2 linked regions of the Xenopus tropicalis genome follow. The protein of the gene in region 2 interacts with the protein of the main gene of each other region in a pairwise test. Links are inferred from orthologs where the notes say so. Each region holds a gene or a part of one and is shown on either strand. Other genes may lie near its edges.

Region 1 (3,657 bases), on a different chromosome or scaffold from region 2:
GGTTGCAATCACACTTCGTGCACCCCTGGTAGTTACACTACTGCATCTATTTTATCAGGTTTTTTGAAAAATATTTGCTTAGCATTCATTCAATCTTTGGATTTAAAACACCTTTGATTTCAAGGCAAAGTTTACAGAAATATGAAAAAACCATAAATATCCAAAACAGTGTGCATTCTGAAAACCCCTGTTGCAGCGCCGGATTTTAATTCCAGGCGCCCCAAGGCCACCCCCCTGGCGCGCATGCGCAAAAATCTCCCCTCCCCCCCCGCAGACGCAAGTGCGCATGCGCAGCCATTCAAACTACCATACGGAACAGTGGGGAGAAGTCCCCATTGCTCCGTATGGCCGCAAAATGTTAAATTTTCGCTGCGGCGGGGCGGCATTCCGCCCCTAAATTTGTGCCGCCCTAGGTCCGGGCCTTTGTGGCCTCGCCACAAATCCGGGCCTGCCCTGTTGTAAACACAATGAGTAGAAGTACACAAGCAAAAAAGTGCTGATGTGGTCTTAACATATAACTTGTGTCAGGCCCCAGGGGGCATTGTTTACTAATGAGGATATAGCAATAATTAAAAAAATGTCACTGTTTTTACCAAAACTGCAGTGTTTTCCATAGAACTACAATATAATTTTGACTGCCACAAGTTGTAGCAAAATTTGGCACACACCATTATGTGCAAGCTAGGCAGCAACATGCGCAAAGTTTAACCCTATTTGGAAATGGTGCACTAGCATCATTTTGGACCGTAGAAAGCAGTTTCAAATAGTTATTATTTTGTTCTGTGAAGGTAAGGAAACTCTTAAATTGTATTAAAGTAGTGTTTGCATCAAGCCTAAATTTTACTGTGTATTAGGACGTTGTTTATTTTGGCTTTTTTTTCTTTTTGCATCTGCAGAATCTGTATTATTACACTAGCAGAATGTCACCCACTTCTTCAAAATGGAAAAACCATTAAAACTATTAGTTACCAGATCAGTGCCAATTGCAGCAGACTGCAGAACAAAGTCTCTGGAAAATCCAAAAGGGTAAGAGATACTGAGTACAAGTTGCAGTGTAATCTCTGAATCTCTATAGAATCTGAATGCATGCTTTATTACTATTTAGGGATTAGTGGCGCTTTAAATTTTCGTTGTGGGGCTCATTGACAGAAGGAATAAATAAAAAGAAGGTCTGTAAAGGGTTTTTCAGCCAAACAGTCAAATCAAAATAACCAGTTTATAAAGCTGAAAGCAATTACTGATTTCTTAATCATTTTCATGCATGAGTTTTTTGCTATACGTGAAACACCACACGAGGCATGTGCTTGAGTGCAGACAGAGGAAGCAGATTTTGGAGCAGCAATACATACACTTGTGTTTTTGCACCAAAAACTACTCCATGAGGCCAGAGGGAGGAGTGAATTGGCTGTTTCTCTGCTTTCATTTATTTGCAGGCAGAGAAACAGTTGGAACTTTTTATTTGTAATATCATTTGCATATTTGCAACCTTTGCTGAAACTGCATTTTGCAAAATGGTCCCCTGTAAAGACCCCTGTAATTCTGAATGTAAACACCTGTATAATGCATAATCAAAAATGTATCTAGCTATAGCCTAGCTACCAGGGCACCAGGGAATGCTGCCAGAAATTTCTGAAGAGTTCCTTGTGTGATTTCTCTGGCCCTAGCATAAAATACAGTGCCGTTAATTCTACACATCATTGTACATTTTCTGTATGCAGCAGTATAGATATGATTCAAAATGCTTAAAAGGCAATATATATTTTATATGTGTTACTGATGCAGCTTGCAGTATCATTATCAAAAATAACATTGTTTTCATTCTGGTTGATCACAAATGATGGCATCCTGGAGTCCTCAGGTTATGTTATAATCTCATTACAAGAAGGCAGGAGAGGGATATGACTAGTAGTCCATTTTAAGTAACTGGCCAAAGAAAAATTATGCTGACATACCTTTTTCTTACTGTCCTTATTCAAAATTAAAAATGGTCTGTGAAGTAGTAGTAGTTTTAAAGTTATGTATGTAATGGCTATTAAAGGCATTATATAACTGTTTATATTCACTACAGTGAAGCCAGGTAACAGTCCTGGAGGACACCTGGGTTCTGCTGCACAGTTTGAAAAGCCAGACCCAATAACAAAAATAGATAAACATAATTGCAGTTATTTTTACAAATTAGTTCTTAATCAGTGAGTCTTTTAATCAATGTATATTTAAGCATAGTCATTCTTTAGAGAGGTCCCTTTTATGTTTTTTTTTAACAGACTTGCCTATATAAATGAATTGGTACTGATCTGCTGCTTCTCTTCATCTGGGCAGAATTCAATATCTGCAGTAGTACTTGGCATCATATAACCATGTTTTCTTAGGGCTGCTGTTTTTTATATTAATTTAATTATGAGCTGGGCTGTCTACTGAATCTGAAAGGTTAATAATAACCCTAATAACCATCTCTGTTAGTTCAGCCTTGCTAATTATTGCCATGATATTTGTGATTACGTGGATAAAGTAGAACAAACTAATAGAGCCACTGTTTCTGAATCCAATCCCTCTCCTCCTAGACTCAGCACACAGTAAAAGGACAAGCCACGACTGCCTGTCAGATATAACCCTGATCTGGCAGCTGAATGACAGTATTTGACATCACTGAACATCCACTTTGAAATCTTTTAATACCTGCCACATTGGTTGTCCAGCGGTTAATATTCCTGCTACATCTCCTTAATCACTTAGATTTCCTTCTCCTCCTGTAACCCACTCAGCCCCCCTCGGGAATTGGCTTTGATTTCTGGCTTGCCAGACATGCTCAATTGTTCTAAGCTCAGATTACTAAACGCGCCCTCCAGTCTAGCAGCCAGTAAAGAGATGGCATTTCTGGTTCCCATAGAAACTCAGCTCTAGCTGTCTGCTTCAATGTTTTTCTTCTAACCTCCTCTCCTGAGCTCTGCTCAAACAAAGCAGAACTTTTATCAGAGACAGTTCTGCCTGTGTGAGCCTGTATTATTGATGAAATGTATGCTGAATAAGAGTCTTTGGGGCCGATTCACTAAAGGTTGATAACGCTTATCGCATGCTTTTTTTGCGTTAAAAAGCATGTGTTAATTAAGTACCGATTCATCAAAGTCATTTCACATGCGTTATTTACCTCGCATTCCGTTAAGTCTCGCATAGAAATAATACTAACGAATGATTCACAAACATACATGAAGCGTTAAATGCACTAAATATCGCATTAGTCTGTGCGAAGATTAACACCTACTTGGGGCAGGCGGTACTGAAAGAAAATTGTGGTTCGTGAGCTTTTGGCAACACAACATGGACTTTGCAGTGGGATTTTTTCAAGTATGTGTTGGCTCTAGAGTGATGCATCCTCCAGTAGTTTCCCGAAAGTAATGGTTACGTGCGTAAAATCGTGCGCTAATATAGCACGCGGCAAAATATATTGCGTGCAGTGGGAAATAACGCACAGGGCAGGAAATAATGCAAGGCAAACGCTTATCGCAAGTTAAATAACGCAAAGAACAACGTGTCTTAATTATGCCGTTAAGTCGCAAAAAATAAGAAGCAGTAGGGGACAGAAGGGTAGGAGGGGTGGTTCATAGCTTGTACAAGCCAACAGATTTGCCGCTTTAGGTGAAGATGCTGGGGAAGACAGCT
Region 2 (3,657 bases):
TTAGGGTTAGTGTTTGGGTTAGGGTTAGTGTTGGGGTTAGGGTTAGTGTTGGGGTTAGGGTTAGGGTTAGTGTTGGGGTTAGGGTTAGTGTTTGGGTTAGGGTTAGTGTTGGGGTTAGGGTTAGTGTTGGGGTTAGGGTTAGTGTTGGGGTTAGGGTTAGTGTTGGGGTTAGGGTTAGTGTTGGGGTTAGGGTTAGTGTTGGGGTTAGGGTTAGTGTTTGGGTTAGGGTTAGTGTTTGGGTTAGGGTTAGTGTTTGGGTTAGGGTTAGTGTTTGGGTTAGGGTTAGTGTTTGGGTTAGGGTTAGTGTTTGGGTTAGGGTTAGTGTTTGGGTTAGTGTTTGGGTTAGTGTTAGTGTTTGGGTTAGTGTTTGGGTTAGGGTTAGTGTTTGGGTTAGGGTTAGTGTTTGGGTTAGTGTTAGTGTTTGGGTTAGGGTTAGTGTTTGGGTTAGGGTTAGTGTTTGGGTTAGGGTTAGTGTTTGGGTTAGGGTTAGGGTTAGGGTTAGTGTTTGGGTTAGGGTTAGTGTTTGGGTTAGGGTTAGTGTTGGGGTTAGGGTTAGTGTTGGGGTTAGGGTTAGTGTTGGGGTTAGGGTTAGTGTGTTAGGGTTAGTGTGTAAGGGTTAGTGTGTTAGGGTTAGTGTATTAGGGTTAGTGTATTAGGGTTAGGGTGTGTATTAGGGTTAGGGTGTGTATTAGGGTTAGAGTGAGTTGCTTTGTGGGAGCCTCACATGTTTGGGTTACTTTAGCAATGTTTTGCCCTTAATAAAATAAACTTGTTCCAGACCAGGTACCGCTGTAACGCACAATAATCCTTGGAAATACTGGGCAGTTCTCCTTAAAGGAGAAGGAAAGGGTCTCGGTTAAAGGAACAGTAACACCAAAAAATTAAAGAGTTTTAAAGTAAATGAAATATAATGTACTGTTGCCCTGCACTGGTAAAAGTTGTGTGTTCGCTACAGTAACTCTACTATAGTTTATATAAATAAGCTGCTGTGTAGCCATGGGGGCAGCCATTCCTGCACTGGTACAGCTGGGGTGTTTGCTACAGAAACCCTACTATAGTTTATATAAATACCCCGCTGTGTAGCCCCGGGGGCAGCCATTCCTGCACTGGTACAGCTGGGGTGTTTGCTACAGAAACCCTACTATAGTTTATATAAATACCCCGCTGTGTAGCCCCGGGGGCAGCCATTCCTGCACTGGTACAGCTGGGGTGTTTGCTACAGAAACCCTACTATAGTTTATATAAATACCCCGCTGTGTAGCCCCGGGGGCAGCCATTCCTGCACTGGTACAGCTGGGGTGTTTGCTACAGAAACCCTACTATAGTTTATATAAATACCCCGCTGTGTAGCCCCGGGGGCAGCCATTCCTGCACTGGTACAGCTGGGGTGTTTGCTACAGTAACTCTACTATAGTTTATATAAATACCCCGCTGTGTAGCCCCGGGGGCAGCCATTCCTGCACTGGTACAGCTGGGGTGTTTGCTACAGTAACTCTACTATAGTTTATATAAATAAGCTGCTGTGTAGCCACGGGGGCAGCCATTCAAGCTGGAAAAAAGGAGAAAAGGCACAGGTTACATAGCAGATAACGGATAAGCTCTGTAGAATACAATAGTGTTTTATCTGTTATCTGCTATGTGCCTGTGCCTTTTCTCCTTTGAATGGCTGCCCCCATGGCTACACAGCTGCATTCTTTATATAAACCATAGTAGTGTTTCTGAGGCAAAACACCAGTTGTACCAGTGCAGGGCAGCAGTATATTATATTGGAATTTCTTTCATACACTTGAATTTTTTGGTGTTACTGTTCCTTTAAGTGATTATATATATATGCCTAATATTTGGCAACCCCTATTGATTTCACCTTTCCTTCCCCTTTAAATAGGAAGCAGTGGGGGTAAAGGAGTTCCATGTGTCCCATGTAGAAATATTACGGGCAGTTGCATAATACATTTTGGACGTATTGCTGGGAGCAGTGATCCATATGATGGGGGCGGGGGGGGGTTAAACGCCACGTTACATTATTGGATCCAAAACTTTTTATGCCCGTTGGTATCCTGCTGGCTAAGTGGCTGCCCTGCACCCAGAGCAGTATCTTTGTGCTCTACACAATGAGTTGTTCTGTGCTTCTCGGAAGCGCCACACAATGCCGGTGATTTCATCTCCAGCGGTACCTTGTGGGGTTAGTAAATCACATTTCCAGCCAATTAGGCAGCCTGATGCTGTGCAGCTCCCGTAATCACATTGCTGCCTGCTCGAAGCAAGGCTCCTCGTATTCGTTATAGGGAGTGTGTGAGCACCCAGGGACCTCCCTGCCCTCCTCCTCCTGCCGAAACATAAGCGCTCATCCCTAATGTCACGTAGAGCAATCTATCCCTTCCTCTAATTACCCCGCATTTCCTTGTTTTATCCTAAGGAGATGATAGCAGGCATGCAGCGCTAACTACCCCACTGCTGCTCATTGGATCTCCTCCGTTAGAACTGATTCATTAGCTCATCCAATGACTTTTCCTCTCTAAACTACAGCAGCAGATAGACCCTCGGCCTCATTAGCGCAGTATAACGAGAGAATTTGCTCATAGAACTAATGCAAACCCTTCTGGTCACTTTTGTTTTTTTCTTCTTTTTACCCCCAGGTGCAACACTAAGCATGCGACCTGCCCCTATCCCCATAGACACAGACGCAGAATGGAGACAGACCCCGCCTCCTGTCACCGCCACTTCCGGCACCTTCCGGTTACGAAGGGGAAGTCGGTTCACCTGGAGGAAGGAATGCTTGGCTGTGATGGAAAGGTATGACCCTAGGCAGACACCGTACTGTGCAATCTATGTTTGGCATGGCTGGGAAATGATACTAATTAACTGGCCCTCACCATTAAAGGAATACTGTCATGGGAAAACATGTTTTTTTTCAAAACGCATCAGTTAATAGAGCTTCTCCAGCAGAATCCTGCATTGTAATCTGTTTTTCCCATGGGGCTAGCCATATTCTTCATTTCCCAGTGTGCCACAGCCATGTGACCTGTGCTCTGATAAACTTCACTCACACTTTACTGCTGCGCTGCAAGTTGGAGTGATATCCCCCCCCCTCACCCCCAGCAGCCGATCAGCAGAACAATGGGAAGGGAGCAAGATAGCAGCTCCCAGTAGGTATCAGAATAGCACTCAATAGTAAGAAATCCAAGTCCGGCTTGGGACTCCTCCAGTTACATGGGAGTAGGAGAAACAATAGGTTAGCTGAAAGCAGTTCTAATGTGTAGCGCTGGCTCCTTCTGAAAGCTCAGACTCAGTCACACTTTACTGCTGCGTTGCAAGTTGGAGTGATATCCCCCCCCCCAGCAGCCGATCAGCATAATAATGGGAAGGGAGCAAGATAGCAGCTCCCAGTAGGTATCAGAATAGCACTCAATAGTAAGAAATCCAAGTCCGGCTTGGGACTCCTCCAGTTACATGGGAGTAGGAGAAACAATAGCTGAAACAATTAGCTAAAAGCAGTTCTAATGTGTAGCGCTGGCTGAAAGCTCAGACTCGGGCACACTTTACTGCTGCGCTGCAAGTTGGAGTGATATCCCCCCCTCACCCCCAGCAGCCGATCAGCAGAACAATGGGAAGGGAGCAAGATAGCAGCTCCCAGTAGGTATCAGAATAGCACTCAAT

The links.
Region 1: the proteins of hmbox1 (region 2) and abitram interact in binary tests that used the Homo sapiens proteins (3 or more experiments, as listed by UniProt). The two-hybrid records come from large-scale screens. The link is inferred for Xenopus tropicalis from reciprocal best matches to the Homo sapiens genes HMBOX1 and ABITRAM.

Annotation. Positions count from the first base shown.
Region 1 is NC_030682.2:76,821,472-76,825,128, forward strand, and holds part of abitram (protein Abitram), read left to right. Parts: intron 1-896; coding exon 897-1,026; intron 1,027-3,657. UniProt on the Homo sapiens protein: Actin-binding protein that regulates actin polymerization, filopodia dynamics and increases the branching of proximal dendrites of developing neurons.
Region 2 is NC_030681.2:151,834,982-151,838,638, reverse strand, and holds part of hmbox1 (homeobox-containing protein 1), read left to right. Parts: intron 1-2,636; coding exon 2,637-2,793; intron 2,794-3,657. UniProt on the Homo sapiens protein: Binds directly to 5'-TTAGGG-3' repeats in telomeric DNA. Associates with the telomerase complex at sites of active telomere processing and positively regulates telomere elongation.